Mus musculus: one gene and its partners. The protein of the gene in region 5 interacts with the protein of the main gene of each other region in a biochemical or structural test. Links are inferred from orthologs where the notes say so. Each region holds a gene or a part of one and is shown on either strand. Other genes may lie near its edges. The genes, in order: Trim24, Prmt2, Mapk1, Flii, Esr1, Ahr and Safb.

Region 1 (4,484 bases), on a different chromosome or scaffold from region 5:
GCACCTTGGAAATGCAGCTGGCAGTGTAGTGACCACGGACTGGGGGTGGCCTCCTGATACCATTCTCAGTGACATTTCTGCACCTACCCCTTCGTGTGGCAGCCAAACACCAAGCCCATTCTTAGCTTGGAAAAACAAAACTACCATGGGAGGAAGAGGTTTTATTCTCCCCACTCCTGTCCAGGAAAGAAGTGGGACCTGTGAATTCAAAGCACAAAGGGACCATAATGCCAGATTCTGATGTAAGGTGTCATTTGCCTTTTGTCTGCTCAGTCCATCTATGCTTCTGTGAGTGTCCCTACTGCCAGAGAGATCTCAGGTGCTTAACACAAGGGAAAGCTTTTGACTTGGAGTTAAGCAAAAGCAAATCCTACCCCCAGCTTGGACTGCATATCTAGAATCATCTTTCAAAGGCAATGATCACGTTCAGGGAGAGCAGTGTGTGTGACAGGGGTTTTACACTTTAAGACCATACATCCTGGAGCTTTGATCCAGGGCTCTGAAAACCAAACTTCCTAAGTTACTGTCAGAGGTAAATGCCGGAATAAGTGTAGGTCAAGACTGCTAAATCATAATGAACATTTTTTTCCTTGTAGTTTGGGTGGTGGTGGTCTCAAAATCAATATGGGATAGAGTTTGATTTTTGTTTTTGTTTTTTTCTTTAAGCTTCTATTACACGTAAAGCCCATTTAGCTTGGACCCACCTGAACACATTGGTTCTTGTCAATGATTATGTCAGGATAGCAGTGTTACTTGTAGAAAAAACTCAAGACATTTACTTTTAATATATTATTAAATATCATTACAGGAAACATGGTACTCAACTGTCTTTCATTCAGCAAAAACTGTTAATGGTGAAATGTAACATTCTTTTGAAAGGTTACTGCGCCATAGAATATAATAGTGACTGGGATAGATCAGTAGACATTCTGGCTAAAATACATAAAAATTATATTTACCTTATTTAAGCCCTACCTCCCCCTTAGTGATAATTCTCAAAATAATTTACATAAGTACTGTTTTAACTCAGGTGACAGTTATGGAAGACAATCTACCAGAGAACAGTATTCTAAGATAGCAAAAAGAAAGGTATTGCTCAGAGTTCCACAGCCGGAGCTTGAGATGGCTCAGTGGTTAAGAGCATTTATTGCTCTTGCAGAGGACTCAGGTTTGGTTCCCAGCACCCATACGGTCGGTGTCTGACCATCCTCTCTAACGTCACTTCCAGGGTATCCAATGCCCTCTTCTAGCCTAGGTGGGTGGGCACCAGGCACACACATGATGCACATACGTATATGCAGACAAACATGCATACATATGAAATAAAAAAATAAATCTTTAAAATATTAAAATAAAAATGGTTCACAGCTGCTACACTTAAAATGCTGGACTAAATCACAAGTGTAACCACTTCCCACAAATAATAAAGCTAGCAAGAGAGCAAGCAAGCAAGCAAACCAACCAACCCCAAAGCTGAGGGCATGGTCGCACACTACTTTAGTCCCTGAACCAGGGAGGTAGAGGTAGAAGGGCCAGAGCTGAAGGCCAGACTGAACTGAACATAAAACCCTATTTCCCCAAGGGTCTGTGCACTGTCAAACTTTGTTCAGACTGTTTCCAGAACAAGTGCCAGCTGCATGTTCAAATCAACACGACAAACATCAGCACACAACACACATTTAGAAAACGGATGAAGACTGTTAGAGTGGTCATGTATAACGAGTATTATACAGGTTGTTTAGATAAAAGGGATCTATTGCTATTAAGGCAAGAAACAATTGTAGCTCTGGAATAATGCTACACAGAAGTCACCGTCTCCCTGCTCCTCCCCCACAGCGGCTCACACAGCGGACGATGACCTTCAACTTCCCATTCTCCTGCCTCCACCTTCTAAGTGCTGGCATTGTGAGTGTGTGCATGCCACCACGGCTACTATGTCCAGCTACATTTTAATTCAGGGGAGGTCATGTGACCAAATAAATCCTCAGGTCAGCTGTTCTGTCAACCTAAAGAAAAAAATTTCTCTAGTCAAACAATTAAAATGCTTTAATACTAAAAATTTACTATGGCAAACTAAAACTGTTATTGTATTTTGTCAAATATTGGGCTAGTACAACAGTACTCAATGATTTTATTCTACCTTAATCTCATTTGGTGCTTTGTTTATCTGAGCTCCCCCCACACCCCCCAAAAAAACCACCAAACAAGCAAAAGGAATCTTTTTTCTCCTAAAGAAAATTAAATTCTGAATTAAGGCAGATCAAAGATGAAATATAAAGTTGTTAAAAAACAAATCAAGGAAACAGAAAGCCAACAAAGAATAGTTCCTAGAATTCCTTCCCCTTCCCCCAAATGATCTCTTCCCAACTCCACAACATCCGCTTATTTGAAATGAGAAAGACAGATTGAAAGCCCATTCAGGGAACTTCAACAGGGCAGCCCCAGGGCACAAGCTATAGAAATCTATCAAATATTGGTGCCCCCTATTGTATATTTGATGCTTCTACTGAGTGTGACTGTGAGCCTTTGGCTCACACTTTTAATCCCAGCATTTGGGAGGCAGCGGCAGGTAGGTCTCTAAGTTTGAGGCCATCCTGGTCTACAGAGTGAATTCCAGGACAGCCAGGACTACAGTAATACTGCAGAAATAATGTCTCAAAAAACCCAACCACTCCGCCCTTCTCCCCCCAAAAGAAAGAAAAGCCACTAGCAACTTGCAGCTCTGCACAGTAAGGGGAGAGTGGAGGGGCGGATCAAACAGCAACACTTGACACACACACTTCCTCCCTCACCGAAGCTGAAGAAAAGGCCGATCTAGCAATCCATGAGAGAATGGCCCTTTAGAACTGCTATGCCCAGCATCTCTAACAGACAAGATAAAACAAAACAATAACCAAACATTTGTTTTTCCTGATTTTTTTTTAATGCAGTTGCCATCTTACATGGACACTATTTGGTGTCTTAGTAGCATCTGTCTACACCTTTTCCGGCAGGCAGCCTGGCAAAGAACTCTGCTTCCATTCACGTTTGGGGAGGACTTCATTTAAGAATAGTAACAGGACTATCTCCTTACAGTTGGCCATAATTAATGGGTAATGAAATTAATATTCTAAAAATGGATTATCACACATCCAGATCACACTAAAATCTCAACTTATGTCAAACTCTATTTCTTTCTTAGTGTAGCACTCACTCCAGGCTCCTGTATGAAATCCAACAAGGGGAAGAATGTCTTTTCCTTCTTTGCTCTTTCTTCTTTTTCTACCTTCTCTTCCTTCTTTTATTCTTGTACACATTTCCTTCCTTCCTCTTCTTTTTATTTTCATTGACAAGAGGTTAAAGAAATGGGTTATGAAAGAAACCAAAGTCCAGTAAACAGCAAAAACAGAGCAGAGAGCTCACAAACCCTTAGATCACTGACAAGCCTTTTGCTGTCTTTAGTTTTGATGAGAAATCTCTAGCACAGCGCGCTGGCCCAGTGCGGCGTTACTTAAGCAGCTGGCGATCCTCGGTGCTCTTGAGACGCTTCTTCCGGGGCTGTACAAAGTCATCGTCTGAGTCGTCACTGAACTTACAGTCTTCTGCTTCATGCCTGAATTCTACCTTAGGAAACCTTTTTTCTGGATAAAGATTCTTTAGAAGTTCTTCAAAATAGCTTTCAAGTTTTATACCAGCATTGGCTACTTCAGAATCAGGCTGTGGGATAAAAATACAGGTAGGAATTAACACCCAAAAGACCCAGGTTTCGTTAATAAAAATAATCTCTCACAATTCTGTTCCTATTTTGCACACGACTATGAAACTTGTAATGGACTGTTGGAAAAGTACTTAGGGATGTCACTAAGATAAAACAAAATACTAGTCTGGGGTTACACTTTGTACTGACTCCTTCCAGAAGGAGTGGTGTGACAGGGATGGGTCACACCAGCAAGGTGACAAGAAGATCATGGGTAGGATGAGAAACGTCAACAAAAGAACAAACAACAATGAACAAAAAAGACACAGTTATATAAAGTGAATTGAGTAGATTTTAACTGAGAACTGTTTGGTACATCCTTACTATTTCAAGATAAACTCAGAAGTCAAAGTCTAAAAATGCATAGCTTGCAAATCAAAGGAAGGAATGATAAATCCTGACTCTACACTGTCTCAGCCTCAGGCAGGCTTGGATTTGCACTTACCACACATAAACCTTTGCAAACTCAGTGTGGATAAGCCTCCTTAGCAAGCTCTGCCATGCCCTGGTAGACACGCAACATTGCACAGACACCTTGGGACCTCCCTGCTGGCAAGCTGTCTGGTTAAGATCACTCTCCACATTGCTGTGGCCTCGCCCCATCTCACCTCATTGAATTCAGCACAGTTTTGAAAGATCAATCTAAAATCAGCTACAAAGTCTTCAGGCTTTGTATACATGCAATAATCCTCCTGAAGTCTTTTCTTGATGGTTGACAAGTCCATTGGGTTTTTAATTATTTTATAAT
Region 2 (4,457 bases), about 72 Mb from region 5:
GATACAGCCTTCCATGTCAAATATCAAATATATATATATGAATGATTCGATCTTAAAAGAAATCAAACAGAAAACAAAAGAGAAATTCAATTAAAAAAAACTGATTCTTTAACAAGGTAAAACGGGCCCTGTAAAAAGGGAAATATAAATTCCTAGAACAGCACCTCTTCCCTAGTAGGGTCCAATATTAACAGAACTGCTGAGACACTCCTGAGAGTCTTCTGTCACTGGGGCAATCAGAAGTCATTTCTAAGCTGCCTAACTGACCACAATTAAGGTGTTATCTACTGACACTGTTGGGCTACTGGAGACCAGTGATCACGGGAAGTCACTTGGAAACTCAAAAATATGTGGTTCTTCCACCCTCAAAGCTCCACAAAGCCATCACTGAGCCTCTTACCTGAAGCACCAGCTATGGCAACAGGTACTCACCACAGTACCATGGGGAGGCGCGGGAGGAGATGGGGACTACATCTGAGCTCCCAGTGAAAGGTTAACAGTGAGACCCGATGCATAGTGGTTTAGAGACCACAGCATCCCTACGGCAATCCCTACGTCCCTACACTGCTGTACACTCACAGACAGAGCACATGCAGGAGACCCAGCAGTAAGTAGCCAAACTGCCCAGGTAACACTCCATAGATGCAGAAACCGCAACAGCACCAACACAAGCCTCAGAAAACACACACACAGCAAACTCAAACTTTTGTTCAGGGATCCTTCATTTTGTTTGATTGGACTGCTTAGTTGTGGCTGGCCTGGGGACCCTTATAAGTTCATAAAGGTACAGACGGTGCACAAGCAGACACAAAGCAGCCTCTAAAAGTGGAAGGAACCGTTCTGGACTTGAGAACAGATTATGACGTTAATCTTGTGTGTGTGTGTGTGTGTGTGTGTGTGTGTGTGCGTGCGCGCGTGCGCGCATGTTTTGAGAAAACTGTGACAGTGTATTACGTTTTCATCTCTGCATGACAGATCCTCAGTGTCTACAATATTATTTTATAGTTGTCTTAATATTTACATTTCCCAAAAGAAACACTGGGCATTCGTAGAATTAAAACATTCTGCAGCTGAAGATGGAAAATGATGAATGAAATGAAAAATAAATCCTACATATAAATATGCCCAGTACATACATACCCAGTCACTGGGCACGGAGGCTTTTAATTCCAGTGTTCAGGAGCCAGAGGCAGGCTGATCTCTGTGAATTTGAGACCAGTCATGTCTACATAGCAGTTCCAGGCCAGCCATAGATGCACAGTAAGACCCTATATCAATAAGTTAAGTAATTGAATAAATTAAAACCCAAGGGAAGGCATACCATTAAAAGGGACACAAAACTGGCTGATGCTGACACCACAGACATGAAAATCTTGATTTTTTTAATAAACCTTTTTATTTGAATAGTCATTTCATTAACTGTACATAATCAATATTCCTTAAGATTGAAGGAGATCTTTTCTCTGGTAACATGGATCAAACTGAATATACGTACCCAAGACAGATCTTCTCGAGTACCAAGCATTTTCCTGGTCCTATGCTACGGCCATCTAAGAACAAGTACAAGAATCTGAAGCATGCTGAAGTGTCCCCTGAAGTGTTCATGACAATACACAGCATGGGACCTAATGACCAGACCCATCCCCCTGCCTCAACGTTCTCTAAATTCAAGCATCCTCCTGTGAGCCAGGACCTTGAGAGACAAGGAGAGTGACATCACCCCTGTAAGCTGGTACTGTTCCTCTGTATGATCATTACACGTGGCTCTTACGTACCAGAACCGGGATGACCTGTGACTCGCTGCAGGGACCTTCTCCTGGTGCCTCCATAGTTCAATATGATCATGTCTCATAACTGGGGCTTTACTTCAGTTTCTCTCCCATGCCTACTTGAAAGAAGAGAGAGAAGCACAAAGTGTTACACTGCCTGGTCAGTAATCTCATTTCACGGCTACAGTTTACTGTATGTGTTAAGAATGGAACAGGATTGGCGTTTTATCATCACAATTCATTAGAGGGCTTTTTAAATTAAAAAATCCAAATGCTGTGTGCTTCCTTTAATATGCTAGATTTATTCCTCTGAAGTCTCCTTTTTTAAGAGATATTTATGAAGCCTCTTTTTACTTAGAATAAATCAGTATCATTTTTTTTAGGAACACTTAATAGCTTAAACTCAAATTAAAACACCTTGCCCAGTACTTGACCTAACCCACAGGCAGAACTGAAATCCCCATGCCCGACACCCTCCTGTTCTTTAATTCTATTTTTTTACCCCCAGGGGCAATGTAACCCTAACTGGCTCTGAGATTACATCGATTCTTTGTTTAAACGCCTGTTGTGCGTCCAGATCTGGACTTCATACTTACTTCGTAATAATTAGAATCACAAATTATTTACAATTATATTTTCAGTGAAAAGCCTGGGAGGGTGCCCGGAGGAAGAAAGACAATGAATTGGAGGGTTCTCCAGGCCAAGCAGATGAGGCCATAGAGGCCAAGAATATAGAGGCATGGGGGATGTGGCTCGGGATACAGAAGGCAGGTGGGCGTGGTCCTGGAAGGGCGTGGCTCTAAGAGCCAGCGGAGGTGCGCAGGGGGAATTGAGAGGTGCAGCGAAAGGAGAGCGAAGAGGGCGGACGGTGCTGAGAAAAGGGGAGGGGGTAGCTGGAATAGAACCTTCGAGAGGGCACTCTAAAGCCTCCAGAGGGGGCGGAGGCCTCAGTGCGCTGGAGACATGCACAGGGAAGACCTTTTGCCTAGCTTGCCCTGCCTCACTTGCGATCCAGATGTCTAAGCTGTCCATTAAGAAACCTACCTCAGCCGCGTTTCTCCGCTGAATTCTAGGCTATACCAGAAAGGAACAGACGATGCCCACCCGAAGCCTGAGCCGCCGCCCTGGACCTGCGCAAGCGCGGAGCACTCCAGCTGGCCGAAGAGCACGCCCCGCCCAGGCCTGGGTGTCCTGCGCAAGCGCAGTGTGTATAAACTCGGTGCTGGTAGCTGTAGATAGTCTTGAGACAGGGGTTTTCTCTAAGAGCTTGTCACTCAGCGCAAGCGCATTTTCTGTCCCTGCTTCCGGCCGGTCGCATTGGGCCTTAAGGCTGCAAGACGCAGGTGAGAAAGTGTAAGGATCGACTTACCGGGAGATCTGTGGGAAGACTGGACTCCGGGTTGGAGGCCACAGGTGGTGTAGACCGCGCCCCCAGCGGATTCGAACCGAGGCAACAATTGGCAGGCTGAAGCAGGAGTGCGTACTAGCGCTGTCCTGAGTGTACCTGGGACTGCCGGTGTGTTTGATGCCCTTCTCCGAATGCTTAATAACCTAGTTTTGATCTGAATCAGCTTCTGCAGAATGGGACCCCCCTACAGTATCTTGGACTAAGTTTTGATCGTGGAACCAACATAGCTACTGAGACACGAAACACACCAGAGACCCCAAGTCCTGAAGATCCTGTGCTGAAGGGGTTGGGGGCGGAGGAGCAATGACACTGACATCAGGTGACCCTAAGCAAGGTTTCTTAAGCTTTCTCCACTAGCAATCCCATCCTACTCAGAAAGTTTTTCAGCGACTCTAGGTATCTAAAATAGGCATACGAATCAAACATTTACTGATAAGTGAATCAGAAAAGAATTTATTGTAAAACTCGGCATACACACAATTTTACCACTGACTAGAGACAAAAGCAGATTTGCATACTAATTAGGTGGATGCGTTTGTCCAATATAATCTAGACACTCTAATACATGCTGAGGAATGATAGGGAAATATTAAAATTCTTTGTTTTCTATAATTAAACCATCATGCTTCGGTTCGTGCAGTAGAAACACCACAGCTCATAACATAATCAATCATTCCAAACCTGCTGTGAGGCATCTCAGGGCTTGCAAGGCTTGTGCAAACCACACCTGTTGTGCCTTCAGTCCATCGGTTCAGTGGAGTCGCACAATGAACTGCAGCCAAGGGATGGGTCTGTCTGTGTGAGGACCTGGTCCTTTTTTTAAATCTGCCCAGTTTTCCATTTCCACCAGATGAAGAGGGCTGAAGCTCTGAGCCAGGATGCCACAGGTTGAAAAGAGTTTCCCACAATCTTCCAAGGCAGAAAAAACTGTCCTCAGAGCCCCCAGTGTGGCAGGCCTGAGACCTATTCTTGAAAGCCTGCTGGTGCCACGAAGCTCAGGCTCCAGGCACTAGGATCCACCCTTGCTAACCTAACATAGGAAAGGGTACCTGTGGTGGCTGAATAAAGAATGTGGCTTTGTAAGGGCTGGAGGTGGCTTAGCAGTTAAGAGCAGTTACTGTTTTTGTAGAAGACCCAAGTTTGGTTCCCAGCACCTATGTTAGGTTGCTCACAAACCACCTGTAACTTCCAGCTCCAGGGGACTCACTGCACTTGGGAGGCCGAGGCAGACGGATCTCAGAGTTCAAGACCAGCTTGGTCTACAGGTTGAGTTCCAGGAT
Region 3 (3,849 bases), on a different chromosome or scaffold from region 5:
CAAAAGAAAGAAGAGACTGAAGAGAACACGGCACACTCTCGTGGAAGAAAACAAACACTAGTCCTGCCACAGGTGGCTTGTTGTGGGCCTACACTGAGACTTGAAACAGAATATCGGTCAATCTATTTTAAAAAAAAATCTTTTTTTTTTTTTTTGAGACAGGGTTTCTCTGTGTAGCCTTGGCTGTCCTAGGACTCACTTTGTAGACCAGGCTGGCTTCGAACTCAGAAATCCGCCTGCCTCTGCCTCCCAAGTGGAATACTGGTCAATCTTGAAGTCTCAACTTCTCTGTTCTCCAAACTGTCCACTATTAACCAATTTCCTCCAAAGCTTAAAGGGCATGGTAGCCAACAAACAACACCCATCTCTTTGGCCCAGAAGCAATGTGTAATTGTATTGCACTGTTTTCTTTGCTTCTTGTCACCAATATCCTCACAGACCAACCCAGAAGTACTGGCCTAGAAATAGCATCGCCACTGAGTCCAATCTCTGCCTTTCTTCCTCATTCTCTAAATTCTGCATATGTATTGTAAGACCATAAGGTGTGTAAAGAAGTTGATGATAATAGGTTCTGCTCTTTAACCTCCACTGCCTAAGCACCTAAAACTTCAGCTAAGCCACATTATTTCTTATGAAAATTAAACTGTAGTAACCTTTTGCTTTTAACATTACTATAATGATGTTTTATTAGGGGAATTTTTGCATTTATTTTTACGCATAAATACTATTCTATTTTCTACAGGCTAAATGAGATCAGTCCCATGCTTGAATTAAGCAAACCTTATTTATAAAAGGTGTTCTTCTCTGACAAAAGGTAACAAGAGCAACACGTGCAGCAGCAGGAGGCTTTCCCTTGCAACACCACCCCACTTACTAACAGACATGCTTACAAAGACAAAAGCTGCCTAGAAACATGGAGCTGCTGTTCCTACAGGTCCTAGGAGGTGGACTCTTCTAGACCAGCTCACCACTGATATCTAATGCTGGCTACAATTACATGTATCAGAATTGATCTGGTCTTCAAGACCTTGAGGTCCAGTCTATTCTATTTTTTATTTTTGTTTTGTTTGAGACGGGATTTCTCTGTGAGGCCCTGGCTTTCCTGGAACTCTTTGTAAACCAGGTTGGCCTCGAGCTTAGATATCCACCTGCTACCACCTCCCAAGTGCTGGGATTAAAGTGCATCACTGTGCTCGACCCAGTTACTTTAAAGATAAGGAAGCTGAGGCTGAAAGAGGAGCACACTAGGACTGTCTGGAAGACACTGATCTGGTCAAGTGTACATCTACTAGAGTACCTACGTCCTGTTGTGAAAGCTTGTTTGACTCCCTTTTCACTATCATAACAGTCATCATGGGATTGGAAATTACATGAATCAACTTTCCAAAACTAAGATTAAAGAAAACTATACAGAAACTGACAAACACTTAACTTATAGAAAGCATATTAAAACTAGTTACAAGAAAAAAGATAAAATTAAAAAAAAATCCTTTGGGGCTGGTGAGATGGCTCAGTGGGTAAGAGCACCCGACTGTTCTTCTGAAGGTCCAGAGTTCAAATCCCAGCAACCACATGGTGGCTCACAGCCATCTGTAACAAGATCTGATGCCCTCTTCTGGAGTGTCTGAAGACAGCTACAGTGTAATTACATATAATAAATAAATAAATCTTAAAAAAAAAAAAATCCTTTAAATACTAGGTAAGCGCAAACATTATAATCTCCTCTTAGCATACTTTTACATATACGGGAAGAGTGATTAAAAAACTCTTTGTGCAAGCTGGGCAATAGTGGCGCATGCCTTTAATCCCAGCACTCAGGAGACAGAGGCAGGTAGATTTCTGAGTTTGAGGCCAGCCTGGTCTACAGAGTGAGTTCCAGAACAGCCAGGGCTATACAGAGAAACCCTGTCTGAAAAAACCCCAACCAACCAACCAAACAGCCAAACACCCCCCCCCCACACACACACAAAAACAAACAAAACAGAAACAACAAAAAAACCCTCTGTGCACTTTTTCTTGATTCCAAGTTATTTACTCTACAAAGTGACCAAGCAGCAGTGGCAGCAGCTAACTTTAGAAAAGGATACACATCTTTCATTTGCTCAATGGTTGGTGCCCGGATGATGTCATTGATGCCAATGATGTTCTCATGTCTGAAGCGCAGTAAGATTTTTATCTCTCTTAGGGTTCTTTGACAGTAGGTCTGGTGCTCAAAAGGACTGATTTTCTTGATAGCAACTCGAACTTTGTTGAGATTATCATAAGCAGAGCTAAAAAAAAAAAAAGAAAGTATGTATATGAAAATTAAAAATAGCTCACTGAATTACTTTGTAGAAGGAACACAAACTTGTAAAGTATTGAAGTTTTAACATCTGTCACATCTGTGTTGATAATTAGTTGATACCTATGGAAGCAGCAGATGTAAAGTAGCAGCAGATGCTGAACCTGACATTTAAGAGCTGCATGGCCTGTTCACGAGACGAATGCCCACTTCTATAAACCTGACACAGGAAACCACCACATTTTCCTACTGTCTTAAAGAGCAGATAACACTTTGATGAAAATGCCATTTCTGCCTCCAAAACAACTATCCATAGTTGTTACTGAATTCTCTGACACAGCAGAAACACCAAATACCACCAACCACATCTTTATCCCTAAAAAAACAAACAAACAACAGTTTTAGAAAGCTTTACTGCCCTTTATCAACCTCTTTCTCCGCCTCTAAATTGTATTTTATGTGTATGGATGTTTTGTCTGCACACTATCTGTACACCTCATGTGTACAGTGGCTTTGGCAAGCATCAGATCCTTTGGAACTAGAGTTCCAGGCAGTTGCTAGCTGCCATATGGGTGCTGGAAATAGAACCTGGGACAAGAGCAGCCATCTCTCCAGCCCAATTACCAACTTTCTTATAAGCAAAACACAGGTCTATTTCTGGTTGTTACTAGGATAATTTTCTAACAAAATCTACAAAGTAACCTTCACAGCCATAGGATGGGAGTTTTTTCCAAGCTATACTTAAGACCCAACTACATAATCCGAAAAGAAGGAAGCAAAATCTTGCTTTTAATTTTAGGATGGTTTAAAAGTTTAAATATAACTACTATCTTTTTTTGGGGGGAGGAGGTCATGGGCCAACAATTTACCTAAATATTTTCTACAAAAGCATTTTATATTAATGTCAACAACTGACCAGTGACTAAAGCACTAAAAATACTGGCAAGCAATAAAATATTTCCTTGTTTCCTTACTAAGTGCTTAAAAAAATGAAATGGTATTTACTGACATCACTACTGATGCCTCTGACTGAGTGTAAAAGTCTGTTTTAGGAGTAGACTTGTCAGTGGCTGCAACCATCTCACAATGCTATTACAGGCTGTGCTGTCCCAAAGCACTTTGAAATGATACACAGTTCTTAAACAGGATGACCATTTAAACATTATTTTCCTTGGTTTGGTAGACGAGGGCCCAAAGCAGTGGTTCATGAGGAGGCAAGCAAAAGCTTGTATAGTTTAGGCAAGTGTACTCAATATTGGGATCTACTTTTAAAGATAAACACCCCCTTTGATAATCGTAACAAGAGCGAGTTTACAGTTAAAACAGGTTTGGGATTGTTGGCTCTGTGCTAGAAAGCTGCCTGGTAGCAGCATAAAGCCCTGGAATTTGATCCTTCAGCATGGTAAAAGTTAAAATTAAGTAAAAGGAAACTTGTAAAACACTGGCCAGAAGAAATTTGACATTATAAATTCTTATTTTTTATAGAACACATTAGTCAAATCTGGTTTGCTTTACAAAATTATAATCTACCAGGACTGGTTTTCATTTGTTTATTTTTATGGCAGGGT
Region 4 (3,970 bases), on a different chromosome or scaffold from region 5:
CAGATCAACTACAAGCTCTCAGTGGAACACAAAAAACGGCCCAAGGTGGAGCTGATGCCAGGAATGAGGCTGGTAAGATGGAGGAGGCTGGACATGGGTCCTGTGTAGTTCTGTGCGTTCCCAGTGCTGACCTCCAACCGTTTGTCCCACAGCTGCAGAGCCTACTGGACACACGATGCGTGTACATCCTGGACTGCTGGTCTGATGTATTCATCTGGCTGGGCCGCAAGTCCCCACGCCTAGTGCGTGCAGCAGCACTCAAACTTGGCCAGGAGCTATGTGGGATGCTACACCGGCCACGACATACAGTGGTCAGCCGCAGCCTGGAGGGCACCGAGGCCCAGGTATGCCCCCACACCCAGAAGCCTGCTCATCATGCCCTATGCCCTCTGCTGCTGGCCAACTACTACAGAGGTGGCCAAATCCACTTTTCTTTGCTGAACCACCCCCTCTGTAGCCTGTCCCAACTTCTGTTTGCTAAGCTACACCTCCCCAAGCCCTAGCTCCAGCTCCTGGTAGACGCTACCCCGAGTGCTAACCAGCTTTTCCAGGCCTACACAATCCCTCTAGCCTCTCCAGCCTCTGACCTTAGTTGTGCTATGCCCCTCCAGCTATGGCATTACACTGTTCAACACAGGTGTTCAAGGCCAAGTTCAAGAACTGGGACGATGTGTTGACAGTGGACTACACACGGAATGCAGAGGCTGTGCTTCAGGGCCAGGGCCTCTCTGGGAAGGTGAAGCGTGACACTGAGAAGACAGACCAGATGAAGGCTGACCTCACTGCACTCTTCCTACCTCGGCAGCCCCCCATGCCCCTGGCTGAGGTGGGTGAGGCCTCTGTGTGTGTGCGGAGGGGGAGGGGAGGCGGGGGGGACATGAGAGGGAGGGGCTCTGCACAGCATGGTGCTCACATCTCCTTGATGACGGCTAACAGGCAGAGCAGCTGATGGAGGAGTGGAATGAGGACCTGGATGGCATGGAGGGCTTCGTGCTGGAGGGCCGCAAGTTCACTCGACTGCCAGAGGAGGAGTTTGGCCACTTCTACACACAGGACTGCTATGTCTTCCTCTGCAGGTGCCAGAGCAAAACCTCAGCCTCTTGTTCTTTTCCCTGTGCAACCCTTGCTCACCACTGTTTGAATCGCAGGTACTGGGTACCTGTGGAGTACGAGGAGGAAGAGAAGACAGAAGACAAGGAGGGGAAGGCCTCGGCAGAGGCCAGAGAAGGGGAGGAAGCAGCAGCGGAGGCAGAGGAGAAGCAGCCAGAGGAGGACTTTCAGTGCATCGTTTACTTCTGGCAGGGCCGGGAGGCCTCCAACATGGGCTGGCTGACCTTCACATTCAGTCTTCAGAAGAAGTTTGAGAGCCTCTTCCCTGGCAAGCTGGAGGTGTGTATTCACACAAGCCCTGAACTGTGCCCCATGGCCTGTGCTTGGGATGGTAGTATGATCAAACCAGGCCTGAGGGAGCTTGGCCCTTGGAGGCAGGGTCTAGGGAACTACCCAGCACTTCTGATCTCCAGGTAGTACGTATGACACAGCAGCAGGAGAACCCCAAGTTCCTATCCCATTTCAAAAGAAAGTTCATCATTCACCGAGGCAAGAGGAAGGTGACCCAGGGTACTCTTCAGCCGACCCTCTATCAGATCCGCACCAACGGCAGTGCCCTCTGCACCCGGTGGGTACCTGGCTTGGGGAGGGGACAGGATTCCATGGTGGAGGTAACACTGCTGACACCACCACCCCCTCCCCAGGTGCATCCAGATTAACACTGACTCCAGCCTTCTCAACTCTGAGTTCTGCTTCATCCTCAAGGTGAGGCTGTGGGCAGGACAGCAGAGCAGGGTGGTGGGCAAGAATCAAGCTGACCCAAGCACTTGTGCATACCCAGGTCCCCTTTGAAAGCGAGGACAACCAAGGCATTGTGTATGCCTGGGTAGGTCGGGCATCAGACCCCGACGAAGCCAAGCTGGCAGAGGACATCCTGAACACTATGTTTGATGCATCCTACAGCAAACAGGTGACAGAGGTGGGGGCAGGCAGGAAGGGAAGAGCAGATGAGGGCCCTGGCTGACCAGCCCTTCTCACAGGTCATCAATGAAGGCGAGGAGCCAGAGAACTTCTTCTGGGTAGGCATTGGTGCACAGAAACCCTATGATGACGATGCGGAGTACATGAAGCACACGAGGCTCTTCAGGTGAGTACCCCTCATCCCTCCCCTAGCTTCTGTGCACACACGGGGACACACAAGGCCTATGACAATGACACAAAGTACATGAAGCACACAGGGCTCTTCAGGTGGATCCTTCTAACCTTGCCCTTCACCTTGGCTGTTGCCCGACAGGTGCTCCAATGAGAAGGGTTACTTCGCAGTGACTGAGAAATGCTCTGACTTTTGCCAAGATGACCTGGCAGACGATGACATCATGCTGCTAGACAATGGCCAAGAAGTGAGACATTCTCCCACCTCAGAGCCTGCCTTCTGGATTAAGATGAGACGCTATAGCTGGGAATACTGGGGCCAGGGGCAGCCTTCCCACCAGCCACATGTGGAGCACTGAGCATCATATACAAAGGCCCTGGGCTCAGTTGTTTTTTTTTTTTCAGAGACAAGGTTTCTCTGTATAGTATTGGCTGTCCTGGAATTCACTTTGTAGACCAGGCTGGCCTCGAACTCAGAAATCCGCCTGTCTCTGCCTCCCAAGTGCTGGGATTAAAGGCGTGCGCCACCACTGCCCAGCCTGGGCTCAGTTTTTTTTTAAAAGCACTATAAACATCAAAAGGGCCAAGAAACCCATGTGACCATTTCATCCTCTGTATCCTCAGGTCTACATGTGGGTTGGGACCCAGACAAGCCAAGTGGAGATCAAACTGAGTCTGAAGGCTTGCCAGGTAAGAGATTACTGAAGCCAGCCTGACGGTTTCAGGAGCCACTTGTCCCTCCCTCATCCTGGATAGACGTTGAGGAAGGGGCACAGTGGTCAGTCCAGCAGGCCTTAGAGGACTACCCAGGCCCATTGTTTTTCTTACCAGGTATACATCCAGCACACACGCTCTAAAGAACATGAGCGGCCACGTCGCCTGCGCCTGGTCCGCAAAGGTAATGAGCAGCGCGCCTTCACCCGCTGCTTCCACGCCTGGAGCACGTTCCGCCAAGCCCCAGCCTAAGCAGTACCTATGACCTCAGACTCCAGTGAGGAAGAGGAGGACTCCTCGTACCTGCTTCAGCTAGCCACAGCCTGCAAGCAGCACACAGCCCCAAGCCCCACCAGTGTGTCCACATGTGTGCAGATGTAGTTTAAAAGATATTAAATGCTTTTATTTTCAATATTAAAAAATCAGTACTTTTAATATTAAAACAACTAGTTTTTAAAAAAAGACAGAAAAGCCGAAGGTGGCATCTACAGGGAAGCCCATCCTCACTGCCGCACACACACGTGCACACACACGCACACACACACCTCTGACTGACTTCAGTCATGACGCCCAGCAGTCTCTAGTCACAGGAGCACACAATACACACAGGCCAGGAGCAAGTACCAAAACTGCTTTAGAAATGACTGGCCAGCTCAGTCCAGGCGTTAGAAAAATACTCTGCTTGAGGAGAAAGGAAGTACAGTATGGAGTGCAAAAGGATGCTCGCACCCCTCCGGCTGAGCTTGAGGCTGGGATGTGTTCAGGGCCCAGCATCAGTCAGCGGGTCCGTGTTAAGGGGCAAGGCAAGACCGACAGATGGTGACGACTAAGGGGAGCAAACCCAGGTCATGCCTGCCTGCGGGGTAGGCAGCCCCTTTCAGTGATGGCCCAAGATGGGCTTGCTGGGGAGCTAGGAGGGTACCAAGTAGAAGAGGGTATGGTTAGTTATCTATGCCCAATGTAGGCTGCAGAGGCACTAGCTACTAAGGTCCAGAGAGCTCCAGTCTCCAGCTAGGCTGGGTCCATAGCAAGATACGGTAGGGGCACATAAGGT
Region 5 (4,371 bases):
AATAAAGGGGTTCCTTGCTAGCACAGGCCACCTGGACCTTTAGGTTACTTGCCCCATAAATAACTTCTTTGGACTAGTTTCCAATTCTTGTGTAATTAGGGGACAGGGCCGTTTGGATCTGTCTCTCCCACAAGACAGCTACAGGCAGAGAATGTTGTTGTTGTTGTTGTTGTTGTTGCTGTTGTTGTTGTTGTTGTTGTTGTTTGTGTTGTTACTGTTGTTTTAAAGCTGCCAAAGAATCCTTTCTGACTTCCCCGAGGGCTGGGATGGGGAGACCTGCAGCCCGCGGTGACCCCCCTCGTGCGCTCCCTCCCCCGGCCAGGCCTTACACAGCGGCCACCCCGATGTGGCGCGGGTACCTGTAGAAGGCGGGAGGGCCGGTGTCGCGCACGGCGTAGGCGCTGGGCTCGTTCTCCAGGTAGTAGGGCACCTGCTGGCCGTGCGGGTGCAGGAAAGGAGACAGCTGCGGCGGCGGGTGCAGCAGCATCAGCGGGCTAGGCGACACGCTGTTGAGCTGGGGGAAAGCCCCCAGGCTGTTGGCACTGAAGGCGGCCGCCTCCGACCCGGGGCCGTAGGCGATGCCCGACTGGCCGTAGACCGGCGCCGAGGCGGCGGCGGCGGCGGCGGCGGCGGCGTTGAACTCGTAGGCGGCGCCCTCGGGGTAGTTGAACACAGTGGGCTTGCTGTTGTCCACGTATACCTCGCCCAGGGCCCTCTCCATGGGCATCTTGAGCTGCGGGCGGTTGAGGGGCTCCAGCTCGTTCCCTTGGATCTGGTGCAGCAAGGCCATTCCCGAGGCTTTGGTGTGAAGGGTCATGGTCATGGTAAGTGGCAGCCGGCGAGTTACAGACTGGCTCCCCGCGCACGCAGAGGGCTCAGCAGCGCGTGGGCCACCTGGAAAAAAGAGTAGAGCCTGCGATTAGAGAAGGCGCAGCGCAAGTCCCCCTTGGCACGAGTACTGGCCCTGGCCCTGCCTCTGCCCCTGCGGGGCAGAGCTATCCTGCAGAACACAGGTGACCCAACTCCAAGGAGCGCACCCAGACGCTCCCGGGTTCTCCAACTTTACATACTCCTCTCCTCTGCTCTTAGACAAACCTGCTGGAAGCCACTGGCCAGGGGCTGCAGCTTCCAGGCACTACTGGGAACATCACACTGTGCGTGCACCCAAGGAACCGCTAGCTTCCTTGAACTTAACTTTCCAGGTCTTCGCTGCTGGATTTCGCTGCAGGGGGTGAAAGCAGCAAAGGGACCTCCAGGAGCCGCGCCCCTACCACTCCCCCCATCCCAAGGAAGACTAGGTTTGCAACAAATGCAGACTAAGCCACAGGCCATTTTCTTTCTTTCTTTCTTCTTTTCTTTTTTTCTTTCTTTCTTTCTTTTCCTGATGTGTTGCCTGTGTGCCTCTGCCAAGCTCCAATCTGTCTCTGTTTTGTCTTCCTTTCTATTTGATTCAGTCTTCTTGTTGGCTGGAAGTACGCAGTGTATGCATAGAATGACCCTGGAGGGACGGTAACTGTATCTGTAACTGAGATATGGCAAATAGGATGGGGTGTGTGATTGCATATGCAGCCAGCCACCGACAGCTATATTTAGCACCAGTGGACACAGATAGGAGGCATCTAGGGCCAGACGAGTGGAGATGGACTATGTATAGGAAGAGCTGCACTTGGAGTCAAGAGAAAACTGCCAGCCTTCAGCTTCCTCTTCTGACAAAAAAATAAAAATAATAATTTTTTTAAAACGCTCCCCAAGAAAGCACAGCCATGGCAATTTTGCCCAGCCTAGCTTTTCTGTTTTTGTTGGACCCCGGTGCCAAATTTGCTTCCTTTAGAAATTCTCATGTGGATATGATTCAGAAAAACCTTCGGTTAGGCACACTTGGGTGTCCCTACCTTCCACAGGTTATGCAACCAAAAATTGGGAAAACCATGCAAGGACTAAGACATTTTCCCATAAAATATCACCTGAGGTCCTTGACTAAAGCTCTGGCGATCCGGTAACCTTGTCTGTCTAACCAGAAACTTTTGAAAGGCTCTCCTACCTTTCAGCTCTTGAATTCTACAAATGGACCTTCTGGGTTCCCTTGGCATAGGGTACACAGGAATCTAATACTCGAATGACAGAGAAGTTAAAATAAGTTTTTTATTCAGTATTGAATTAAATTCTGATTGAGCTCACACACACCTGTTATTGCAAATTTAGAAAAAAATTGCAGCTTGGATAGTTTGTACTTTCTTAATAAACTGCATATGCCCCAACCTAATATCCCCTAAAATAACCATTAGCATATGACTTGAATTGCTAGCCCATATACCCAGGAGAAGTACCTGACACATGCAAATGTCAAGGTTGCTGTTACTAATAGTAACACTTTAAAAATATTTTCTACTAAGCACACTATTTATCTAATTCTTAGAAAAACAGATAATTTTGGATAAACCACAGCTAAGCTGGCTTAAATCTAAAGACAAAGATGAGTTTTAGCACCCATAAGTATCATTGACAGCAAAGGAAGGGTTAAAAATACATTAGGTGAATCGCAGATATTTCTCTTTATGGCCAGCAACCATGACTTTCTAGAGCAATTTTTTCGTAGATGATTTAGTTCCCATAAATCACACTTTCAATTTTCAAATGCCTTTTAAAAAACACATGCAAAAGCAAGCACTTCAGATGAGACTCTTTAAAAATCTGAGCCTGCCAAATTATATATAAATGGCACAGAGAATCCTACAAGTCCGGAAAGCGGGAAAAAAAAAAAAAAAAGCCGCACAGATTTCCCCCCATAGAAAAACAGCACAGCTTCCTTCTCCAGCTAGGAGACAGACACTAAGCAGAAAGGTAAGTTGCTTTCTCAAATCGCTCAAGCTACAGAGAGAGAAAGAGAGAGAGAAATCAAAAGCCGATCCTACCCTGCTGGTTCAAGAGCGTCTTTCCAGAAATGTTCCATGGGTTTGTAGAAGTCAAGGGCTGAGACAGTAAGACGGAAGGAAGGAATGTGCTCGAATGATCGAGTGGCGCGGTGTGTGATCAAGGCAGAGCGTGTGTGGATGTGTTTGTATGTGGAGTGGCAGGGACTCTCGGGAAGCAGCCAGTAGGCAGGGCACTTGGCAGCCCCTCCCGGCAGACAAGGCAGCTGGGCTCCTGCACGAGCTGGATGAATGGCAGCGGGAGTCCGGGAGCCTTGCTGTCTGCTGAGGGACAGCAGTAGCCCCGCTAGAATCAGCATTCCTAGAAGAAACTCCAGCCCCCTTTGCTCCCTACCTGTAGAGCCAGAAATGTCCCGGTGCTTTCTATGGAGAGGGAAACTGAGATGGCTGTGAACCACAGGCTCACAGATAAACTAGAATGCCAGTCAAAGTGTGCAGAGATCAAGTTTATAAACTATGCCAGGATATCTTCTTCCTAAACGATGTCATTTAACAAGAAAAGCCTTCTGGGATACATATGAGTCAAGCCCTCTAGCCCTACTGTTCCCCTGAATAAGATGCTCAGTGACAATGCTACCAATAACATACAAAAGTCAGACTTCGCAATAAATATTTTTGGCATTCCAGGGATATGTTTCCAACTGAAATGCAAGACTCCCTCACTTCATTAGTCAAACCTACCAGCCTCTCTACCAATAGCCTACTGACTACTGTCTGTAAACACATCCCAGAAGAGGCATTATTTTAATCGTAAAGTTGGAACCATAAAATAGCTTTGCGTTAAAGCGATTACACGTTCACAGCTGTAGTTACCAGCATTGGTTGCAGACAGAGATCTTGTACCTCCAGTGCTGTCCCATGGATACACCTGGTTCTCAGTGCTTCTCTCCACCACAGTACAACACAGATTAACAAGGTACTCTGACTGTGTCCTCACCCTGGGTCCCAGGACACAGGAGGCCTAAAGGAGCCTTTGTTGTTTAGTAACTACTTTAGGTATTAAGTGACTCTAATCACAACGCCAGGAGTGGCCGGTCTCCAGCCCTAGGACCCTAGGCAGTTACCAAGAGATATATGAGTGGCACTTGGGCCAGTACAAAGAAAGAAATAGAAAGAAAATACTAATGATATCATGCTGCAACTATACGTTTTTGTGCTTGGAAAGACTCAAGGTCATTATATCGGGACTTAGACAAGTTCCCTCAACAATCAGCAATGACCATAAATATCTAATATATAAATAAGTATCGAGAAGTTGCGGTGTGAGTAATGAAGCATTTGCCTAGCATATGGGGAGTCATGGGTTTGAGATCTAGCACTGTATAGATGAACAAACAAATAAATAAATATTGGGGGAAAAAAGATTGCTAACCCTTTGTTGGTAATAGTGTTGACTCCTGATGACAGGGGCCCCTCCTGTAGGTCAACAATGATGTCACAC
Region 6 (3,604 bases), on a different chromosome or scaffold from region 5:
GTGATATCGGGAAGAGGCCGGGCTTCCGCCAGGTGATGGAGATGGCCAGTGGTCTGAGCAGCGTGGCCAATGCTGCTCAAGTCGGACGAATAGGTTTCATTGAAAACACCTCAACTCTGCACCTGAGAACAAACACAGCACAGCAGCTTGTTAGGATCTGAGGAAGACCTTAAAAACGACTTTTAGTCTGTTAGACCTATGGGTTGTTTCACTTTACAGTCCTGTACTGATGATGCTCATGGCTAAGTCTTTCGTCATTCAAATCACACAGAGGAAACGCTCACACACTGACTTCTTTTGGAAGATCAGGTTTTCTCATTAGTCCTACAAGATAATTTAAAGATGGTACAGCGAACGCTACAACTATCTCACTTCGTCTGCCTTGGGGCCTGATGGGAAATTATGTGACATGGGGTGTCAAAGGGTTATTCAGTCCTGCCACAACCAATCAAAAACCTGGAGGCAGTGAACTGATTCTATCCGAACTTCTACACAGCATTTCAGACACCAGCACTTTTGCCCAGATCTGGATTTTAAATGTTTCTTGCTATTCTTGCAATGTTACACTACAGGTATGATCTTAATCCAATTTATTTGTAAAATGTGTTTAATAAATTGTTCTGCAAGTTACCAAATAAAAAAGATGCTTGGTTAGCTAGTTGCATCAGAGAGGAATTTCTCAATTGAGAAAAGATCAAACTGTAGCCCCAGCACGGGCTGAAGGCTTTTTTTAAAAACAAACAAACAAAACCAATTTTTTAAAGAGAATGGTTATTTCAAAGAGATTGAACTTTTAATGTGCTCACATTTGTAAAGACTGTGGGACTTTTAAAGTCATTTATGTTTTATATTGTGGTAGTAATATTAATGTGCTATCTTGGGGATAAATGCGAAAGGAAAGGTTCTGTCTGAAAAATGTTTTGTGTCAGGTTGACAAGGAGTCAGTTGTTTGGCTAGTTTTATGTCAACTTGACTCGGCTAAGGTCACTGAGGGGAGACAGCCTCAATTGAGAAAATGCCTCCACTAATCTGGCTGTAGGCAGGCAAGCCTGTAGGGCATTTTCTTAATTAGTGATTGATGTAGGCTCAGCCTATTGTGTGGCTCTATAAGAAAGCAGGCTGAGCAAGCAATAGAAGGCAATCCAGTAGAAAGTACTCTGCCATGGCCTCTGCATGAGCTTCTGCCTCCAGGTTCCTGCCCTGCTTGAGGTCCTGACCCTACTGCTTTTGATGATGACCTGTTATGTGGAGCTGTGAGTGATTTAAACTCTTTCTTCTCAGACAGCTTTTGGTCACGCTGTTTCCTCACACCCTAACTAAGACACCTGCCTTCTTACCAGTCTCATATCCAGAACTGCTAAAACAGTGAAGAACGAATATAACAGTTATAGTCTACAGAAACTTCACATTGTGGTGTAGTTGATGAAATAAACTGAGATTAAAATAAAAATCATAAAATTATCCCTTTAGTTGCCTCAAATTACTCACTTCTTGTGTAGTGCTGGAGGTCCAGTGAAGGGCCTTGTGCATGCTAACCCGGCTCGACCACTGAGCTAGCTATACTCTTGACCTTTTGTTCTGTGTCTCACCATTTTCCAGACTGTCTTCAAATTCACTCTACAGCCCCAACACCAGGCATGAGAAAAACCCTTTTGAGTTGCTGCTCAGGGTTGTCCTACAGGTAATATACAGACTGTGCAGGTTGTATTTAAATATTTAGGAACACACACACACACAGAGCAATGAAAGAAAAGAGGCCAAGAAACTGAAAGAGAGCAAACATGGTAGATGGGAAAGGTTGTAGAAAAAAAAGGGAAACAGAAAAGGAATACAATTATGGTTCATTTCAAAAATAATAAATTAAGAATAAAATATTATGTGTATAGTTGTTTTGCCTGCATGATGTATGTTTGTATGTATACACACACACACACACACACACACACACACACACACACACACACGTGCATGTGCAACACAAGTATGCAGTGCTCAAGGGTGCAGAGAGAGCACTGGGTGCCTGGAAGTGGAAACTGTGGACTGTTCTGAGCTCCCATGTGGGTGCTGGGGATCAAGAAGGGTAAGCAAATGTTAATTGCCAAGCCATCTCTCCAGGCTAGAAATGTTGTTATTTTTTTCACTGCCGCACAATTACTCATATGAACAGGTTACAATGTGACATTTCAATTCATCTATATAGTGTGTAAGCAAATCAGGCAATTATCTTTCACTGTGAACACTCATCTGTTATTTGCATGAAGAACCTTTGATTTCCTTTTTTTCTAGTGATTTTGAATCATGCAATGAACTGTTGTGAACTTCTGTCATCCTGCTATGTTGTAGAAGAGCCGAAGTTACTCCCACTATCTGTCTGTTACTACCCAATAGCCAGCCCCACTCTGCGGCCATTTCCAGCATCTGAGGGATCAGCCTTGGAGGTTTGCACACATGGATGCTCTCTATATTCTATAATGTCCTTCAGACACACCGCTTTGAGGCAAATACTAATATTCTATTCTTTTATGAGTAAATTATATCCAAAGTATGGTTAATCCATTTTCTTTATAATAACTATTAAAAATTTTTAGGAAATCTTTTTCCTAAAAATTTTCAGGAAAAAGATTGACCAAAACTATCATCTTCATTCTCCATTCAAAAAAAAAAAAGTCCCATACAATCAGACACAGCAGATTCACTCACAATCTAAAAAGCAACCAGGACTGTGATTTAAGCCACACTTTTAAATGGCTATACTCAAACAGCTCATGAATAGTTACTTAATAAACTTCATGTTAGTCAAGATATTCTTACAATCTAAACCAGTATATCTTCAAATAAGCTAATATTTGTAAAGAGAAATTTATTAATATAAGCATGATATCCTCCTGAGGGGGTAACAAAGAACAGTTATTAAATTATCTAAACATCAACTTGCTTTTAAGAAAATTATTTAAAATAATTTATTATTCATACTATTTTAAGTAAACTATAATGAAGTTAATTACGTGACCATAAATATAACGAAAGCAGTTCCGAAGTTGCTTGCTATCTAAAATGGGTTATGATGATATGTTTAAGTGTAATACAGAGATGCTTAGGCCTACAAGGTTTTTTCAGCTGTCGAAAGCCCTTACCTTGCTTAGGAATGCCTGAGAACCTGGAATTTCAGAGCTGTACTGCGTCTGGTCCACAGGGGTGCGCTGTGGCCCTGGCTGGCACTGATACATGGACATGGCCCCAGCATAGTATGCCTGAGGACTGACCATGGCGGACTGTGAGTTTATCCCATGACTTTGGTTTTCAGGAACTTGTAAACAACTGACAAAATCTAAATTAGAAGTAGTGGGATGCAGGGACGGTTCAAAATCCCTTCCAGGGAAGTCCAACTGCACACTCTTGGAATGTTCTGGAAGCAGAGGCTGATTACAGGGAGCAAAGTTCTGTGTGTAAGGCACACTGTCCACCTCTGGTTTGTAGGGAAATTCCTGAGCAGTCCCCTGTAAGCTGGAAAAGAGCTGATAGTGCTTTAGTTCCTGCTGGGGACAGTTGAAAGACACGGGAGGGGTGGGGTTCCAACTTGCAAACGTGCCGTTGATTTGCGTGT
Region 7 (3,849 bases), on a different chromosome or scaffold from region 5:
ACTGAAGATCAATCCCCAACTCTTTCTTCCCTAGAGCCAACTGTCTCCCATCATGAAAGCCACACACAGCAAAGAGCATCCCAGCTGCTCTTTGTTCCCTCATGACACTGCCTTCATTGCTATGGATGCTGGGTTTGCTCTGTGACTATGCAGTCATCGCACTTGCTGTGACAGGCATGGCTACCACTCTAGGTCAGGTAACTGGCTTGGCTGTAAGAGAAGGCTGGTCTTAGTTGTAACACTGACCTCTGGCCCTGCTGAACAATAGTAAGAGGCAACAACACAATTTGCTTGTAAACTTCACTCAGACACAGGCACATGAAAGGCCATGGCAGCAACCATTCACCTGTCAGACCTAGAATTTGGTGACCAAAGCTTAGAAGGAATTGAGAGCCAGCTAAAGATCACAGCACATTAGCACTGACACACTTTACCCCGATGCTCCCCTACCCTTCCATTCTCTTCACATTGCAATTAGCCTCCGACCAGCCAATCGGCATTTTCCTAAACCCTGGCCTCTGTGTTACTTTCCAACAAGGAGCCCACCACTTGAGCCGTACCTTTTAGAAACTGATTATGACACCTTGTTTGTATCTTAACAGTGCAAAACAAACCCTTCACTCAAAGCCAGTGTGCTGCCCACAGGCATAGGCTCTCAGTCAGTTCTCATGGCAGGGGACAAAATGCTCACTGTAGGAGATCTGAGGTTTTGTTGGAATACCAGAGGCTTTTGGTCACCAAATCTCCAGGTTTGACAGGCCAAAAAGATGCCCCTGGGTCCTTAATGCCCACTCTCCTCTCTCTAGGCAGACATCAACCCTGTAACCATAAAATCCTTCAGCACATATTGCCTTGAGGCCTGGGAGCTTGAACTTGTACCCTGCAGCAAGTGCCTGGACTCTCACTTACCAGAGCCACACGTTACCTAGGGATGTAACACAGTGCTCAGAAGGCCAGTCTAAACCACTCTAACCATTGCTCTGGTCTCATACATGTCTAAACCACTCTAACCATTGCTCTGGTCTCATACATGACTTGCATGGAGAAGCTGCATCGATGTTGAACAGCTAGAGGCAGCAGCCAGCTGAGCAGAGTGGTTGCTCCAGTTGGCTGTACTCACACACCATACATAACTCAGGCTCCCCTAAGGGACAATGACCAGCAGCAGCTGTCCCTGTTACTCTGCTCTGTCATGAACTTTGCATCAGGCCACCCAGTGCTCCACCCAGCACCAGCTGCTTACAGCATGCTCCTGCAGCTGTTCTGGGAGCCCTTTCAAATCTCCTTCTACCAGTTCAGTGCTGTCTGCTAGGCCCTCAGGGAGTGTGGCCTCCTCCTCTTCCTCCACACAGTCTGCCACGCTGCCATTGTCAATGTCAGCCTCATCCAGCACACTGATGTCCATCATATCCATGTCTTGCAGGTTCTCCAGGCTGGTCTCCACATCCTCCTGCAATACAGAGGACACTGTCATGGCACCGTGCCATCATGGCTCTCCCTCTCCTCATCCACTAAAAAGGTGATGCATACCTGCCCATCCCCAGAATTCTCCTCGAGCCCGTTGTCCTCCACACCCTCGTCTTCTGGTTTCCTCCCTGAAGAGACAGCATGTGGGCATGAGGCCAATAGTCTGTGTCGTGCAAGCAGGTGCCTGAACTTCTGTAGGTCCCAAGCTCTGTTCACTGCACAGACCTGGCCTCTCATCTAGCCAGGTCTCAATGCACTGTGTTTGGGATGCTTATCGTCAACTTGACAGAATGGAGAATCACCTGGGAGACGGGCCACAGGCAAGCAAAAGGTGCACACATTGGGCCAGCAAGGGGGCTCAGCAGGGAAAAGGCACATGTTGCCAAAATTAACCTGAGTTCAATCTATAGAACTCATATGGTGGAACGAAACACCTAGCTTCAGTAAGTGCACATGCAAACACACCAAAAATAAATAAATAAATAAATAAATAAAGTACATGGAATAGAGATTGAAAAGTTGGCTCAGTAGTTAAGAGCATGGGCTACTACTCTTCTTTGTATTCAGGTTCAATTCCTAGGATGCAACGGAAGAGTTTACCATGCCTGACTCTTGTTTTGTGGTGTTGAGCAGGGGTTCCACACTTGAGGATGTGTGGGCACAAAACAAATTTTGAAACACTATGTTATCCTATATCAACGCCCACATGACTTGGGGTGTAGGAAAACATGTAAGCAGGCCATCACATGGGCAGGCTACCCTCACAGGTCTTTTCTCCTCAGGGAGAGCAATGACCTGTCTTCAAGCAGTATCCAATGTCTCTCTGTGCTGGGGATGTTCTACCATGGAGCTGCACTGCACCCCTGGACTCAGGTTAGTCTGAAAAACTGGTCTCCCTCAGAACTGAAGTAAGGTTGTATGTTGGCCCAGTTACCTACCTTAAGCTTGCAGTAATCCTCCTGCCTGTGCTTCCAAGTGCTGGTCATGGGAATGAGCCAGCAAACCTAGTTGGAACCTCATTTCACTGCTCATGAACACCAGACCCTAGGATCTTGTGCACCTGTTCTTTTACTCCACCCTGTAATGGATACACTCACTCACCAGCTCTGACAGTCTGGCCAAGTGGGATTTTGCTATTGTAGCTCTTCCCTCCAAAGAGCACCATTTTTTTCCTTCTCACTATGGAGCAGTATGGAATGTTCTTAGCTATGGTACTTGGCATGATCTCCATTACAGTTAAGTTCTGTGGGGCTGCTGAATTCCTTAACTTCTCTATTAAGTTTTGTATGTGTGTATGAAATATGCGGAAGGGTGGAAGCCAGAGTGTCCAGCTCTCTATAAAGGCTAGTTGGCCTACACAGTGTGTTCTAGGCCAGCCAAAACTATATATAACATGCATCTCCAATAAATAAAACTAAAACATGAAAACCATTCTCGGCTATTTTCCAATATGCTAAAGCATTGTAACCAGATGCTGATGAAGGAAAAGCTGGCTGTGGCTGCAGAAGGGGCCGTCTCAGCAGGGAAGCACAGCGGTAGAGGAGGTACAGTAGACATGGGGAAGGGGCAGGCAGCTGAGCTGGTGGATGGGTGGATGGTGGTAATGACCACAGACAAATGGACAGATAGATAGACTCAAATCTTAAAGTTCTCTGCAGTAATAAACTGCTTCCAGCAAGGTCATACCTCCTCAACCTCCCCAAATAGTAGAAGGAACTAGGGGCTAAGTGCTCAAATGCCTGAACCTGTGGGGACATTCTGATTCAAACCACTGGAGAAGCCATACTGATACTTGATAATTTTTTTCTAACCATGAAACTAACCATAAACACAACCCTCAAAGCAGAGGTCAGGGTGAGGCCATGCCCAGAACATTTGGCCTTTTGTCCCCAAACATGTTACCCCACCACTCCCATCTGAGACAGAGCCCCTCTATATACTCCTGCTCTCGATAGAGCAGGATATACTGAGTGCTGGGATTAAAGGCTAGTACAGTCTTGTCCACCTTCAGGCAGAGGGGTTCACCCTGACATTTTAAGATTCTGCAAAGCCTACCATGGAGAAGCAGAGATAACCTGAGACAGACCTTTCTAGAATTTCAAACCACTGAGTTTAATTCATGAAGCAAGGTAACACTTCTTGCCAAAAATCTTGATCAAAACCCAACAACAGGGTACTTGAGAACTCAGTGACACTACACAACAACCTGTGTGGCAAAGAACTGAGGGAGGAAGGAAAGAACAGACCCTTGCCCTCTGCTGGGCTACAACCACACAAATGTAACATACTCTCAAACTGCAAATCAGCCCTAAGAGTTTGTGGCTCTAGTGCTATATTGGTGAGATTCTAGAATGAGCAAAGCCAACAGCTCCAGGAGGCAGT

The links.
Region 1: the proteins of Esr1 (region 5) and Trim24 form a complex in vitro, tested with the Homo sapiens proteins (4 studies listed by BioGRID). The link is inferred for Mus musculus from reciprocal best matches to the Homo sapiens genes ESR1 and TRIM24.
Region 2: the proteins of Esr1 (region 5) and Prmt2 form a complex in vitro, tested with the Homo sapiens proteins (2 studies listed by BioGRID and IntAct). The link is inferred for Mus musculus from reciprocal best matches to the Homo sapiens genes ESR1 and PRMT2.
Region 3: of the proteins of Esr1 (region 5) and Mapk1, one has a biochemical effect on the other in vitro, tested with the Homo sapiens proteins (3 studies listed by BioGRID, with this or other methods). The link is inferred for Mus musculus from reciprocal best matches to the Homo sapiens genes ESR1 and MAPK1.
Region 4: the proteins of Esr1 (region 5) and Flii form a complex in vitro, tested with the Homo sapiens proteins (2 studies listed by BioGRID). The link is inferred for Mus musculus from reciprocal best matches to the Homo sapiens genes ESR1 and FLII.
Region 6: the proteins of Esr1 (region 5) and Ahr form a complex in vitro, tested with the Homo sapiens proteins (4 studies listed by BioGRID, with this or other methods). The link is inferred for Mus musculus from reciprocal best matches to the Homo sapiens genes ESR1 and AHR.
Region 7: the proteins of Esr1 (region 5) and Safb form a complex in vitro, tested with the Homo sapiens proteins (2 studies listed by BioGRID). The link is inferred for Mus musculus from reciprocal best matches to the Homo sapiens genes ESR1 and SAFB.

What each region holds. Positions count from the first base shown.
Region 1 is NC_000072.6:37,964,713-37,969,196, reverse strand, and holds the end of Trim24 (transcription intermediary factor 1-alpha), read right to left. Parts: coding exon 4,345-4,484; intron 3,697-4,344; coding exon 3,487-3,696; 3' UTR 752-3,486; downstream 1-751. UniProt on the Homo sapiens protein: Transcriptional coactivator that interacts with numerous nuclear receptors and coactivators and modulates the transcription of target genes.
Region 2 is NC_000076.6:76,234,937-76,239,393, forward strand, and holds the start of Prmt2 (protein arginine N-methyltransferase 2), read right to left. Parts: upstream 2,930-4,457; 5' UTR 2,814-2,929; intron 1,889-2,813; exon of another isoform or gene 1,886-1,888; 5' UTR 1,830-1,885; coding exon 1,776-1,829; intron 1-1,775. UniProt on the Homo sapiens protein: Arginine methyltransferase that methylates the guanidino nitrogens of arginyl residues in proteins such as STAT3, FBL, histone H4. Acts as a coactivator (with NCOA2) of the androgen receptor (AR)-mediated transactivation.
Region 3 is NC_000082.6:17,014,319-17,018,167, reverse strand, and holds part of Mapk1 (mitogen-activated protein kinase 1), read right to left. Parts: intron 2,271-3,849; coding exon 2,088-2,270; intron 1-2,087. UniProt on the Homo sapiens protein: Serine/threonine kinase which acts as an essential component of the MAP kinase signal transduction pathway. MAPK1/ERK2 and MAPK3/ERK1 are the 2 MAPKs which play an important role in the MAPK/ERK cascade.
Region 4 is NC_000077.6:60,713,511-60,717,480, reverse strand, and holds the end of Flii (protein flightless-1 homolog), read left to right. Parts: coding exon 1-72; intron 73-152; coding exon 153-344; intron 345-637; coding exon 638-826; intron 827-936; coding exon 937-1,076; intron 1,077-1,148; coding exon 1,149-1,389; intron 1,390-1,523; coding exon 1,524-1,678; intron 1,679-1,754; coding exon 1,755-1,815; intron 1,816-1,891; coding exon 1,892-2,020; intron 2,021-2,090; coding exon 2,091-2,197; intron 2,198-2,344; coding exon 2,345-2,450; intron 2,451-2,826; coding exon 2,827-2,892; intron 2,893-3,033; coding exon 3,034-3,168; 3' UTR 3,169-3,338; downstream 3,339-3,970. UniProt on the Homo sapiens protein: Is a regulator of actin polymerization, required for proper myofibril organization and regulation of the length of sarcomeric thin filaments. It also plays a role in the assembly of cardiomyocyte cell adhesion complexes.
Region 5 is NC_000076.6:4,708,836-4,713,206, reverse strand, and holds the start of Esr1 (estrogen receptor), read right to left. Parts: upstream 3,050-4,371; 5' UTR 2,913-3,049; intron 1,242-2,912; exon of another isoform or gene 1,096-1,241; intron 895-1,095; 5' UTR 824-894; coding exon 360-823; intron 1-359.
Region 6 is NC_000078.6:35,500,579-35,504,182, forward strand, and holds part of Ahr (aryl hydrocarbon receptor), read right to left. Parts: coding exon 3,135-3,604; intron 123-3,134; coding exon 111-122; 3' UTR 1-110. UniProt on the Homo sapiens protein: Ligand-activated transcription factor that enables cells to adapt to changing conditions by sensing compounds from the environment, diet, microbiome and cellular metabolism, and which plays important roles in development, immunity and cancer.
Region 7 is NC_000083.6:56,591,436-56,595,284, reverse strand, and holds part of Safb (scaffold attachment factor B1), read right to left. Parts: intron 1,596-3,849; coding exon 1,531-1,595; intron 1,451-1,530; coding exon 1,244-1,450; intron 1-1,243. UniProt on the Homo sapiens protein: Binds to scaffold/matrix attachment region (S/MAR) DNA and forms a molecular assembly point to allow the formation of a 'transcriptosomal' complex (consisting of SR proteins and RNA polymerase II) coupling transcription and RNA processing.